Linked DNA regions of Caenorhabditis elegans. The protein of the gene in region 3 purifies or fractionates together with the protein of the main gene of each other region. This does not show direct contact. Each region holds a gene or a part of one and is shown on either strand. Other genes may lie near its edges.

Evidence for each region.
Region 1: the proteins of C01B10.3 (region 3) and F07A11.5 fractionate together in Caenorhabditis elegans (co-fractionation; one large-scale study listed by BioGRID). This does not show direct contact.
Region 2: the proteins of C01B10.3 (region 3) and aco-1 fractionate together in Caenorhabditis elegans (co-fractionation; one large-scale study listed by BioGRID). This does not show direct contact.

What each region holds. Positions count from the first base shown.
Region 1 is NC_003280.10:11,610,405-11,614,917, reverse strand, and holds F07A11.5 (Ribokinase), read right to left. Parts: upstream 2,619-4,513; 5' UTR 2,582-2,618; coding exon 2,523-2,581; intron 2,459-2,522; coding exon 2,199-2,458; intron 1,590-2,198; coding exon 1,333-1,589; intron 1,248-1,332; coding exon 1,136-1,247; intron 1,080-1,135; coding exon 1,003-1,079; intron 769-1,002; coding exon 589-768; 3' UTR 527-588; downstream 1-526. Other genes in the region: F07A11.4 (ubiquitinyl hydrolase 1), read right to left, coding at 3,612-3,660, 4,429-4,513.
Region 2 is NC_003284.9:11,338,210-11,343,856, forward strand, and holds aco-1 (Cytoplasmic aconitate hydratase), read left to right. Parts: upstream 1-1,664; 5' UTR 1,665-1,666; coding exon 1,667-1,757; intron 1,758-1,936; coding exon 1,937-2,105; intron 2,106-2,155; coding exon 2,156-2,293; intron 2,294-2,340; coding exon 2,341-2,410; intron 2,411-2,582; coding exon 2,583-3,391; intron 3,392-3,439; coding exon 3,440-3,728; intron 3,729-3,775; coding exon 3,776-4,354; intron 4,355-4,434; coding exon 4,435-4,953; 3' UTR 4,954-5,118; downstream 5,119-5,647. UniProt on the Caenorhabditis elegans protein: Catalyzes the isomerization of citrate to isocitrate via cis-aconitate. Has probably no RNA-binding activity.
Region 3 is NC_003282.8:6,618,845-6,623,294, forward strand, and holds C01B10.3 (Endonuclease/exonuclease/phosphatase family protein), read right to left. Parts: upstream 2,509-4,450; 5' UTR 2,508-2,508; coding exon 2,448-2,507; intron 2,347-2,447; coding exon 2,210-2,346; intron 2,155-2,209; coding exon 2,085-2,154; intron 2,037-2,084; coding exon 1,928-2,036; intron 1,744-1,927; coding exon 1,673-1,743; intron 1,619-1,672; coding exon 1,413-1,618; intron 1,364-1,412; coding exon 1,030-1,363; intron 986-1,029; coding exon 869-985; intron 821-868; coding exon 716-820; 3' UTR 624-715; downstream 1-623.

The DNA.
Region 1 (4,513 bases), on a different chromosome or scaffold from region 3:
CTCATTTTCTTCATTCCGCCGGAAGGATTTCTGTCTTTTTGGCACACCGCTTTCTCAATTTTCCTCCCTACTAGACACTAATTCAAGTCTCTCATGAAAATAGCGGATCAGTTTTCGTAAAATGTTAGTTTAAGACCTCCCCCCCCCCCCCCGTCCCATCTACTATTTAAACATTTTCCAATTTGTCGTCATTCTTATATTATTTAATTCATCATTCTTGTCTTTCGTCTGTATTTTTATCGGAGAAGCTCTCGACTCGCTCGAAAAACGAAAACAATGAAATAATTGAATTTACGCAAATTTCTTTATACACAATGACTATGCGATTCTGGAAATTAAATTTTCAGCATTTAAATTTGTTGAAAAGGAAAATAACAAAACGGGAAAGAAATTCATTATAGGAGAATTGTGTTATTTTGGAACAAACATTAACATTAAACGGTAAATTTCCAAATTTTCAAAAAATTCAGGCTCCCTGCAATGTTCAACAGCTAATTAAAACATATTGAAAGTATAAAATGTGTTTGGAAAGCAGAATTTTTATTTCAGACCTAATCACAAATTTCTTGAAAGACACTGTAATAAGTTTTAAGGCAAGAATTCCGGGTATTGTTGGCGAATCTCGTCGAGCTTCCAATAACTCGATTGAGTTCCATGACGTGTCACAGAAAGTGCGGCCAAGTTGGCAGCCGAGCGTATTGATGCGGAAATCGGATGGCCGGCAACCAAATGAGCAGCCAGTGAACCACAGAAACAGTCACCGGCTCCCTGGAATTTTCAATTAATATTATACCTATATGCAGATTGATCTTGTTCATATTTCCTCCAGGTTACTGTAGAAAACTTGCGCCAAAAATTTTGATTTTGATAAAGTAGTTTTTTAGAGGCCCATGCACAACATTTTTAACTAAAAATAACTAGAAAGGCAACTAATTTCTTTCGTTTCAAAAAATATATTGTGGTGGGACCCAAGCTCGGACAAAATTTATTTTTTAGTATTACCGTAGTATCAACTGCATCGACTTTGATCACGGCGGTATGCTCAACATCATCGACTCCTTTGGATGCAAGCAGGACACCTACAATTCAAAAAAAAATTTATTGTTTCAAATTATCCCAGTGTAAGTCCCCCAACCTTTGCCTCCGAGAGTTATGATCGCATGTTGAGGTCCCATTTTGAGCATTGCACGTGCTGCTTTTTCAGCGTCTTTCACGTTGTTTTGAGCGATTCCAGTGATGAATTCCGCCTGGAAAGTTGAAATTTAATTTATTTTTTGTTCAGAACAATATTTGGAAAAGTTCAATTGATTAGAAAAAATAACATAGACCTACTTCATTCTCATTGGTACAAATAATATCAACCAGCTCGAGAATCGTCTTATCCATATTCGGATCCCCAGGAGCTGGATTTAAAAAAGTGGTGACTCCGTGACTTCTAGCAATTTCGAAGGCTCTTCTATTTCCTTTTTCGTCAATTTCTCCCTGACAAATGACCATTTTCGAGCCAGCAATTTTTGAAGAGTTCGCATCAGCGATTTCAGGCGACATTTCAAGATTTGCACCCAGCGTCACCACAATGTTGTTTTCGCCTGGAAATTTTGGAATTTGGATTTGAAATAATGTAAGTCTCATGTAAATCTGAAAATCAAGAAAATTTAATTTTTCGAATTTACCATATTTTAATAGTTTTACACCTCAATTGCACTGTAACAAATCGAACTTTTCATGTCTGTAGATGCTATTTGAAATATTTTTTCTACATATGTCAAATTCCAATTTTCTACTAGATGCATCACATTTTGAGCTCACTTTTTGAGTCTAAAAATTTGTAATTCTCCTTACCCTCTCTCCCCCACTTCTTACTATTAGTTCCAGTTCAAAGTTATTTGTTTGTCGTCGTCACTGAAGGTTCTTCGAAATAATAAGTTATTTATATTACGTCACCAAAAAAATGGGGGAAAAAGAAAGAGAAAATAGATTCTATGAACGTAGACAAATCGTTTTCAGAACAAAATTAGAATTTCAGTGATCTACGAGCTATAAGAACAGATATAGCTATAGGAACTTATTCTTAACCCGGTTGGCAATTTTTTCTTAGAGGTAGGGTCTTGCTACAAATATTGAATGTTTCTTCAAGACATTCAAGAGGCCACACATAATCTTAAATATTTTTTTCCCGCCAAAACTCGGATACAAACCTTCTTTGTTAACAGTGATAGTCGCTGTGGCGGTATGTGTCTTTTTGGTCCGTCCCACACAACTTGTATCAACTCCATTGCTGCTCAAATCCTTAATATTAGAATCTCCGAACATATCTTCTCCAACCATTCCAATCATTGAGACATTGATCCCTAGGCGAGCCGCAGCAACTGCCTGATTGGCGCCTTTTCCGCCGGAGCCCAGCTTGAAATTGTGACCGCGCACCGACTCTCCAGGTCTTGGGAAACTATCTGTGTAGCTGGAAATTGGTAGTTTATAATGTAAAATTGTTTAATGAAAGATAAAATTTAAAAAAAACAGACCTGACAAGATCCTGAACGATACTTCCGAAAACCACGATTTTCTGGTTTTCACTTGACATAACGATATGCTTTTTTTTTAATTTAGAAAATTCTGAAATAAAAAAATAAAAATGCGATTGATAGCACGTGTCAAATAATCAAAGAAACACAAAAAAGAGAAGAGAGAAAGAGAATCAGGTGGTTAGCTTGTTGAGGGCAAAAACTGTTTGCCAACAAATTTGGCAGCTGGTCAGTTATGGTAAGAGAATAAGACACACGTAGTATTATTTTCCAGAAATTTTTTAGGTGGCTAAAAATGCCTGCCTGCCTCATGCCTACACTCTACTGAAAGGAAACATGTTAGTCCTCTTGAAAGCGAAGCAAATAATTTGTAGGCAGGCACGTAGGCCCGTTCGCATGAAGAACCTACAATGATGACAGACCCTATAATTCCTAGAAAAAGCTTTCAAAAACCAAAAGCAAATTTTAAAAAAAGCAAAAAAATTTTTTTTGAAGGTTCCCAAACAGATAATGTTCCCATTTTAAACCATTCAGGTCAGATAAAATTGTGATCAAAAATTAATTGTTTTGGTTATTTTTTTGATCTTTAAAAATTTTCACTGACAGTGATTTTATGTGAAAAAAAAACAAAACAATGGCGTCATATATCACGGGCCAAAATTCAGAAATCAGGCGATAGGCAGGCACGTAGGCCTGCAAAATGGCACGTGAATGGCCTCAAAATGCATTGAACTAAAAACAGATAATATTTGGAACTCGTATCTTATCTTTTCCCCTTCTTATCAATTTTCATCGGCTTATCTTGATTTCTTTTTTCTTTTTTTCCTTTGCAGTCAAGGACAGAATTTTAATTTTGAAATTAATTTATTCTCTTCGGGGAACAAAAAAAAAACTGAAACCGGTCTCCGTGGATTCAAACAATTGTTATTTTAATAATCAATAAAATTAGGAAAATTAATGAAAAATATATAAATATTAAATCAAAGATGTAATATCTAAAAACATGGTAACAGGTTTTGAAAGAAATGAAGACAATGAACAACACGTGGAAAAAAAAATTGATGAATTTATGAAAATCTAGAAAAATGACTAAATTTTGACTTCTTCTGGAGCTCCAGGATCACACGAGTAGTGGCGTCTGAAATAAAAAATTGTTCATTGATCGGAATAGGTTACTTTGATAAAAACCCAGCGCGGTGATCATTAAAAATTAAATCATTAAAAAAAAAAAAAAACTCATCAGTTTGAAAATGAACAACTAGTTCCAAAATAAAAAATATTATGGAAAAACTTTCAAAACCTTTTTTGAAATTTTTATTCCAGTGAAAAAGTTCTGAACATTCAGTTTTCAAGCATTACCTTGTAAGTCGGTCAAAATATGTTATCCTGGTTTTTTTTTACTAATTTCGTACTAATTGTTTTTTTCAAATTCTAGGAGCTCGAACCTGCAGGATATCTTAAATAACCACAGAAATTCACAATTTTTTGGCGATTTATGAAATCTTTGCCTAAAAGTTTTGAAAAAACAAGCAAATCACGGTTTCTTATTATTGAAATCCAAAATTTTTATTTAATTTTTTAAAGAAAAATTTAAGAAAAAAATTTTCAATTTGCGTGACCTCGGTCGTGGAACTTATTATTTAGATTTGGAATATATAAATTGTCCAAATCTGAAGCTGAATCAATCAGTTCTCACTTTTATCCAATGCTTACAAATTCAATTATCAATTTGCTTATTACAATAGTGCTTTCTAATCAACTATCATACTATCAATACCGTGCTGGAAACTATCTCAATTATTTGAACGTCTTCGTCTCAAAAAAAGCCGTTCTCAGGATTTATCGATTTTCTTGAATTTCAGGAAATTCTTTCCCAGATTTATAGTTCTTGGGGTTTCCAACTCACTTGAATATACTCCTCGTCACATTCTGATCTCTCATTTTATAGAAGAGTAAGTAAGCATCCTCCGTTTGTAAAGTGCTCGTAGACT
Region 2 (5,647 bases), on a different chromosome or scaffold from region 3:
CACTGTCTAATGCAACATCATCGAAACACACGAAAATACTTTTAAAAAAACAAGCCGAGTTTTTTTTTTGGTAGTTTTCAGAATTTTTAACAGTGTTATTCATTTACCAAGTGTACTCCCTATTAGTTATACAGTGTGTAATTTTCTTGCATTTCTAAGAGTCATCCTAATATTAGAACTTCAATCAGTATTTCAATAATTCGGGACAAGACAAGGCGTACCTTGTAGAATTTTCAGATAATTCTTCAATTCCTGAAAAAATAAACCTAGACTTGTTCAAAACGTTTACACATGTTAGCACTTGTCTTGCTTTTTACAACTTAAAAGGCTACTAGAGGTAATACGGGGAATGATTGTGAGACCAATTTTAATAAAATACGTTTCTATGAATCTCAACTTGGGATCAAATAAAAATATATATGCAAAGTCTTTCTGAATAAAACATGGTTATACAATGATACGCGGTAAACTATGAAAAACGGTAATTGTAATATTATGAACCAGCCGTGGTCCGCACCTTCGGCGCGGCCCCCGACTTCTAGGGCTGAAAATCAATTTTTATGAAACTACCGTAACCCTACAGTATTCCTACCGTACCACTATTGTACCACTACAGTACCCCGACTATATCCCTACACTAACCCCAACTCACTATCCCTCCAGAAGTCAAAACTTCACAGACTACAAAGACTACATAGACTACAAACTATGGACACACAGAATAAGCGCTTTATATTATATATAGTAAATTATCATGAAGAACAGAGACATATGAAACAAAAATATCAATCAAAAAACCAACCAGCTTGTGCTCAAACATCTTCTGTTTTTTTAACTTAGTAAATTTTAGTCACGCTAACAGAAATTCCGTACTCTATGAATTTTGTGAACTACAGATTCTAGTGATTCTAGATTCTAGTGTATTAGTTTAGTTATAGCATGGATTCGATTGCATTTTTTCAAATGTTTTTTTTTTTGAAAAATAAAACGAATTTTTGCTCTTCAGTTTCCCAAAGGAATTTCCACCTCACCATCAATCTGTGCAAAGTTCTCCCACTTGATAATCTTTTTTAAATGATCTGATATCAATGATAACAAAAGATAAAAAATATCGGACACAAATCTCTGAATTTTCTTTTTATCTCTCAATATGTCTGAGAGCGCATTGTTTCAATTCTCAAAAAAACCACACTGCAACATTGTCGTAACCTCTTGGGTCAAGTACGCAACGTGTATGCAGATCGGCCCTCTTCTTCTCTTCCCACCGCACACTATTTCACTGTGCACATTTACCTTTTTTGACTGTTTCTTGAGTTCTGAGATGGTATCGTTTTTTCTCGCCGCCTTTTTTCTCGACATTAGCCTTCTAGAAACACTGGACAACGACGCAATTTCGTCCTAGCTGATATGAAAGATGACTATCTTCGACCGACCTTGGCACACACACACACATACACAACATACACAAAACGCTCTCACATTCAATACAGCCACACACACTAAGCGCGCTCAGACACACACAAAAACGGACAGGTCGACTACACCGATTCGGCACGCCTCCATTAGTTTTCCTCGCATTCTCTTTTTCATTACAATGCACTTTTGTCGTTCTTTTCTATCGAAATCCTTTTTTTTTTAAATTTTTTCCATATCTAACTTTCCAGATATGGCTTTCAACAACCTTATCCGCAACTTGGCTATCGGAGATAACGTCTACAAATACTTTGACTTGAATGGTCTCAATGATGCTCGTTACAGTAAGTATAACTATTTTACATCCTATTCTCAATCTATCTAAAATATATCTGCATATATTCAATTTTGGAACTTTTGTAAACGAAAAAAAAAACAGCGAATTTCGACGAGCAAGAATAAATTCATTATGTTAAAGTCATATATAAATCATTTTCTTTAAAAACCTTCCCAAAATTTTCAGACGAGCTTCCAATCTCCATCAAGTACTTGTTGGAAGCCGCAGTTCGTCATTGCGATGAGTTCCATGTATTGAAGAAGGACGTGGAAACCATTCTTGATTGGAAAAACAGCCAGCGTAACCAAGCTGAGATTCCTTTCAAACCAGCACGCGTTATTCTCCAAGATTTTACGTGAGCTTGAAAATAAATTACCAAATTTATGTACATCAAGCAATTTTCAGTGGAGTTCCAGCCGTCGTAGATCTTGCCGCTATGCGTGACGCCGTTCAAAATATGGGTGCTGACCCGGCCAAGATCAACCCAGTATGCCCAGTTGACCTTGTCATCGATCACTCCGTGCAAGTCGATCACTACGGAAAGTACGTTCTGCGCAACCTGGTTTATACATTTATTGTATTTTTTTCAGCCTTGAAGCCCTTGCCAAGAATCAGTCCATTGAGTTTGAGCGAAACAGAGAACGCTTCAACTTTTTGAAGGTAAGGAAAGGTGAAAATGCCACTTTCAGAGTTTCACTGTCACGTTTTACTCTCCCCATCACTTTTCGGAAAATCACGCTATGCATTTGATTGCCCTTATCACTACTTTGTTCAATGAACACACAAATATTCAGATAGCTTAAATGAAATTGTATTATCAAATTATTTTCAGTGGGGATCCAAAGCTTTCGACAATCTTCTTATTGTACCGCCAGGATCTGGAATCGTCCATCAGGTTAATCTTGAATATCTTGCCAGAACAGTGTTTGTTGGAAAGGATGGCGTTCTCTACCCTGACTCCGTCGTTGGAACCGACTCCCACACCACAATGATTGATGGAAGTGGTGTTCTTGGATGGGGTGTTGGAGGAATTGAAGCTGAAGCTGTGATGCTCGGACAGCCAATTTCCATGGTTATTCCAGAAGTTATTGGATACGAATTGGTTGGAACTCTCAGTGATACCGTTACCAGTACCGACTTGGTTCTTACAATCACAAAGAACCTTCGTGATCTCGGAGTTGTTGGAAAGTTTGTTGAGTTCTTTGGAACTGGAGTTGCATCGCTCTCCATCGCCGATCGTGCAACAATTGCTAACATGTGCCCCGAATATGGAGCAACAATTGGATTCTTCCCAGTCGATAGCCGTACCATTGACTACCTCACTCAAACCGGACGTGATACCGATTATACTCAACGCGTGGAACAATACCTCAAGTCTGTTGGCATGTTCGTCAATTTCACCGATGACTCCTACCGCCCAACATACACTACCACTTTGAAATTGGACCTTGGAAGTGTAGTGCCAAGTGTCTCCGGACCTAAGCGTCCACATGACAGAGTTGAGCTTGCTTCTCTGGCTCAAGATTTCTCCAAAGGGCTCACTGATAAGATCTCCTTCAAAGCTTTTGGCCTTAAACCAGAAGATGCCACTAAATCTGTCACAATTACCAACCACGGAAGAACCGCAGAGCTTACTCACGGGTAAGACTATAAATTAGAAGTACATGCAAAAAATAATGTTTCTTCCAGATCCGTAGTTATTGCTGCCATCACATCCTGCACAAACACCAGTAACCCAAGTGTCATGCTCGCAGCTGGATTGGTTGCCAAGAAGGCTGTTGAGTTGGGATTGAATGTCCAACCATATGTGAAAACATCCCTCTCTCCAGGATCAGGAGTCGTCACAAAATACCTGGAAGCATCTGGTCTTCTTCCATACCTTGAGAAGATTGGATTTAATATTGCTGGATATGGTTGCATGACATGCATCGGAAACTCTGGGCCACTTGATGAGCCAGTAACAAAGGCCATCGAAGAGGTATTGTTGAAACTACTGTTTTCTTTTCAAAATAATTGTTTATTCAGAATAACCTTGTCGTTGCCGGAGTTCTCTCTGGAAATAGAAACTTTGAAGGAAGAATTCACCCACATGTTCGTGCTAACTATTTGGCATCTCCACCTTTGGCTGTTCTTTACTCGATCATCGGAAACGTCAATGTTGACATTAACGGAGTTCTTGCTGTTACTCCTGACGGAAAGGAAATCCGACTAGCCGACATTTGGCCAACCAGAAAAGAAGTTGCCAAGTTTGAGGAGGAATTCGTGAAGCCACAATTCTTCCGCGAGGTGTACGCTAACATTGAGCTTGGATCCACGGAGTGGCAACAATTGGAGTGCCCGGCTGTCAAGCTTTACCCATGGGACGATGCCTCTACTTACATCAAGAAGGTTCCATTCTTTGATGGAATGACTAGCGAGCTTCCATCACAATCCGATATTGTAAACGCACACGTTTTGTTGAATCTCGGTGACTCGGTAACCACTGATCATATTTCTCCAGCTGGATCAATCTCGAAGACCTCTCCCGCCGCCAGATTCCTTGCTGGACGTGGAGTAACGCCAAGAGATTTCAACACTTATGGAGCTCGCCGTGGTAACGATGAGGTAAGAGTTTATTCATTCAATATATGATTTTCTAAAAACTTTGAATTTAACAACACATCACGTTTTTTTTTAAATTTCAGATCATGGCTCGTGGAACATTCGCCAACATTCGTCTTGTTAATAAGCTTGCGTCGAAGGTTGGTCCTATTACACTCCATGTGCCATCTGGAGAAGAGCTCGACATCTTTGACGCTGCTCAAAAGTACAAGGATGCCGGAATTCCAGCCATCATTCTTGCTGGAAAAGAATATGGATGTGGCTCATCTCGCGATTGGGCTGCAAAGGGGCCATTCCTCCAAGGAGTCAAGGCTGTTATCGCTGAAAGCTTCGAAAGAATTCATCGTTCCAACCTGATTGGAATGGGCATTATTCCATTCCAATATCAAGCTGGTCAAAACGCTGATAGTCTCGGACTTACTGGAAAAGAACAATTCTCAATTGGAGTTCCAGACGATTTGAAGCCAGGACAGCTCATTGATGTGAATGTATCCAATGGTTCAGTTTTCCAAGTCATCTGTAGATTTGACACTGAAGTCGAACTCACCTATTACCGCAACGGAGGAATCCTCCAATACATGATCAGAAAGTTGATCCAATAAACTGTTATTTTAGCTTAAATTTTTGAAAGTCAATTTTTTCTATTTTTAGATAACTATTTACTTTTCGATGCATCAATCCTTCTCTATTTTCTGTGATATTTTATGAACATGTTTGAAGTCCAATAAATTTGTGATTTGGAGCAACGAAATAAATCAATACTTTTTATAATTGGGCTATAAAACATGTGGATGGTCAAATTTATTTTAGTTTTGGCGTCTCTGTTTTGCTAAAACCACTTAAATTCGTAATATTTTACTAAAACTCAACAAATAACGTATTTCTACTATTTATAGGAGAAAGAAATGTGCTTCCAGTTTGACAGTGTTTAGGATATAACATTTTGCAACTTTTTCTTAAAGGTCGTCATCACTAATTGTATTTTTTGTTCTCTCAGTCATAAGAGTATAAATAAATAAGAAAACATCTTCATTGAGAACAACAAAATTGGGTGTAAAAGCTCAAACATTCTAGTTGTTTGAACAAAATGAACAGAGAGATTACGGTATTTATTTGTACTGAACTGACTTTTTATAGACTAACATTTCAGCAGTTCATTCGTACTATTCAGTCCCATTTAAAAGTGCACACTCACCCAATAAAATCTCAGTTGCCCTATAGCTAACATCACTAAAGTAATATGAGACCCTTGCCAGCGCAAAAGATATTTTTATTTCAAAATAAGTAAATTTTGCA
Region 3 (4,450 bases):
AGACCCAGGGGGCGAAGAGACGATTTTTGCCGAATTACGAAATTCTGACAACGAGGAAAACTCTGTAAATTGGCACAAGTCCACGTGGTGTCAGAGTGTCTCATTTCGGCTTGAACTACGGAGATCTACAAAAAAATGCGGGAGAAGAGACACAGAGTTCTCAACTGATTTTGCATGGTTAAGAACGTGCTGAGTCACTTTTTTTTTGAAGACAAATTCCCGCATTTTTGTAGATCAAACAGTAATGGCCTGGCATCACGTGCAAATCGACTCTTCCCGCGCCCCGCCCCCTAGGTAATAACACACTGAAACCTCACTCTCTGACCACTGCACTCATTTTTGAGAACTTTAAATTGAAGTTACTTTTAATAAAAAATTTTAAACTGATGTTTGAAAGAATATTGAGATAACTAAAAACTGAGTCAAACATGTAGTGTTTTAGAAAAATATTTTTTTCTTAAAGACATTTATTTTTTCTGAAACTCTTCAAAACTTGAATTATTATACGTGTCTGAAAATATTAGCGGACTTCCGAAACTTTTTTAGTGTGTAGACTAATTGATAGTCTGAAAATTATTTAAAAATTGATGTAACTCTCAAAAATTAACAACAAAAAAGCGAATCGATCTAAAAAAAAGTTTATTAGCGCCGACAAATTTCAATTAAATTCAAAATCAAAAAACAAATATAGATGAAGACAGTGAAAATATAAATTTTATTTCAAGCAAATGGAAGCATGAAGCGCGACTGGCTTGTGAGGACCAACAAACTTCTCTTCAGCAACAAGACCATAGTACAGTCCAGATGCACAGAAAGAATCCTGAAAATATAACGATGCAGCAAAAAAAAAAACAAGCTGATAACTTACGTGCTTGAAAAGTTCATTCATCCGATCGTTATACAAAATTCTGTCACTCCATGCTGGGCAAAGAGTCCTCTGAAACTCTTCTTTCCCACTGTCGTTAAGCTCGTAATGACGAGAAGGCTGAAAGCTGAAGACTAGGCAAACTCAAAGTTTTCAGATCAAACCTGGAAGAAGCATGTCTCCTCTTTCAAATTTCCTTTGAATGCAATATTAGCCAATTCTCCATTATATCTTTTAACCATTTGTCCTCTTCCCAATCGGAAGAACCAATCATGAATTGAATGTAGATCAAATCGAGTTCTCTCAACAGTGGTTGTTCTTCTTCCATGCCGATCAACGTGCTCAATTGATTCAACATTTCCATCTTCATCTTTCTTTGCAACAGTTTGAACCAATTGAGTTTTTGCCAAATAATTCAAAAGATCAGTTTCATGGAGTTGAGAATTGAAGGATCCAGCGACAAGGATTGCATCGTTTCGAAGACCTTCTTCATCCAATCTGAAATTCTTGTTCATTCAAACGTTTATTAATAGCTAAATATAATTACTCTTTTAAAAGCATTTCAATTTGTTGTTCCCTTTTTGATGCTGCTTTTGTAATACTGGAATTCTTTGTTGCAATCTCATTTACATCTTCGAATGGAACAGAGTGCAGATTTAGATTAACAAATGTTAACTCTTTTCCGTGAATTCGAAATCTGGCTAATAGAAATCCAGTTCTTTGATTTGCCAAATCACGAGTTCCATCATCATTCTGAAACAGGGTTTTTTAATTGAAAATACTAATTTTAAAGTTAGAAATACTTACATAAAAATCTCTTCTAAAAGTGTAGTTTTGTCCAAATGTATTCTGAATGAATCCATCACATTCATTGGAACCTGAAATTTTTTGGAAACAAGATCACATGTTTTTGTACATTTAGGGGAATTTAAGAATAGAGTAGTTCAAAATGACTAACCTGTCAAGGTACAAAATTTACTAGAACATGAAATAAATTTACGAAATGTAAATACCTTTGTTACGTTATCAGAGTACACGAAAATCCCAAAAAAAAAAACTAACCAATTGAATGTTGATGCCCAGAACGAACATTAATGTACCCAGTTGAAGAAAATCTATCGTAGTACTGTATATCTGAGTGATTCTTGAAAAGATACAGGTTTCCAAGACCCTGAACTTATTTAATGAATTTCCAAATATTTTTAAAAGTGTAACATACAGTTAATTTGGTATCAAAAAATGCCATAGAGCTATCAAAAGCTCTGTAGATTTCTGGATTATCAGTGATGCTGGAAATATTTTTAGTCATAAACTCTCTCAAATTTTCAAGAAAAAAATTCTTACCATCCACAAATAACTCTTGCAGCATAATCTGGATTTTCAGCCGAGTGAAGACCTTGAACGTGGACAACAGCAAATTCACACTTTTGCTCATAAATTTCCTTGGCCACTTCGGAGCACCAGGCTCGGATCAGGTCATCCTGAAAATATATTTTTAATTTGATGCATCAAATCTTAAATAATCACATTTAAAATTAAATTACTAGAATTCATATCTTGTTTTAAAAAAAAGTAAACATACATCAGTTCCTATTCTGGAAATGTCCCCAGTGATTGCAACTTGCTTGATGTACTCGGGCATTCTGAAAATTAAGTTTTGTTTTAAAATTTCAATTATAAAAATAAATAAAAAGCGGAAATGAAAAACAGGTCAAGAGAACGAACAAGAATAGTTCCAAATAAATATGATGGAACATCAGACAGAACGGGTGGCACAGAAAAAAGAGAGTATTCAAATTAAAAATTACAATTTAAAAAGAATTTCCATTTTCAATTTCAAATTTCAATTTGAAACCATCCAAATAAAAAGATCCTTGCATTTCCTTTTATGAGGCGATGAAGGATGGGAGTGAAGTAGGGTGTGGTTGGAGAAATGAGGCAAATTGTTTGTTATAGTTAGGAAATGTTCAAAAATCTTGAGAAATTGAAATTAAACAGGTTGAAACTGTTCATAATCAATCTAAAAAACTAAAAAATAATATTTTAAATTTGAATCTGATACAAGAATTTTTCAATTCACTCAAAAATTACGGAGATGTGAGCTGCCAAAAATAAATATTCTTGATAAATAACTTGGGCATTATAAAATTTAATTGACTTCCGTCAATTAAATTTTTAAGTAACTCTTAAGTAATTACTGCAACTTATTACAAAATATATGAGTTGATTTCTAAAGCTTTTAATCTTTATAAACTTTAGTTTGAAAGTTCGAACACGTATACCAACAAACTGAAACATGTTTAACTTGAATAAGCGTATTGATACATTTTTTTAAATCAGTTAAAAGTACCAGGGTTAGGCCTAGTCTTTTGTAAATTCCACAACCAATAGTTAGTGTAATCCAGAAAAAAGTGAACGAAAATTTCGAGAACAAGAAGAAAAATGGTAGAAGAAACCCGATGACTGTATGTCTCTATGTCTATTTGCAAACAGTTTTTTCTCAATTTTCTCATTGATTCTCTGTCTCTAATTCTATGAACATTGCGCGGGCGGACGTAGAAAAAATGGATAGAAGAAGGCAACGCCCTTTTCTTTAAATCTCTTATTCTTATACACTATTTTCTCATCACCGTTCCCTATTTCGTAATCTTTTTCTCTTTTTTAGGTCTTCTCTCAGTAAAACATATGTCGGCACAGAGATGATGATGACGGCTGGGAGACTTCTAATCAATGAGATTTTGGAGTGAATCATTCTGCAAATTGTTTCGAGCATTTCTACAGGTTTTAATCCATATGATGCTTGAGTACAAATTATTAAAACATGATCAAAATATGAAACTAGATTTTGTTTTGACCAACTTCCAAAATTTTAAAATTTTCTGAATAGAATAAATTAAAAAAATTTCCAATGACGCCCACCATCAAACTTACTAAAAAATCTATTAAAACTGAAACCCTGTGAGTCATCTAACACTTTAAAATTGTTGCAAACTTCCAAACACCACGAGAATTTAAAATCGAACTAGTTATTTTACTTCTTCTTTTTCTGTCCCAACAGAAATAAACCATCAACCTTGCAACACTGAATAAAAACTGCATCAACAATTGATAGAACAGGTTGAGGGAAAGATATCAATAATTAAACTAATAGTTAACCCATTTCAAAAATAAATATCGTGGGAGTAATTGTGTATTTTTACTGTTGACAAATGGGATTAAAATGGAAAATCTTTTTGAGGAAGTTCTCGACTTTTACTCCGCCATTATGTCATATTTTTCTTTGTCAAACAATGAATGGTTTGCGAGCTTCTGGGTTATATGTGAAGCGTGAAATAGAAACATTGAAAATGCTTTTAAAAAACGACAATTAAGCGATTACAAAAAATTCTTCAGCTTTAAACCTTCACATTTGAAAAAGAAACAACAAGAATCAGCTTTAGATCAGAGAACCTAACTTTTTAGGAAAAAATTGTCATGCAGATCTGCTCAAAATGCGATTGGACATCGTATATTTGTAGTTAACATTTGGATTTCTATGGAATCTAACTACTCTATGAAGAATTGACGACGTACCAATTACCTATA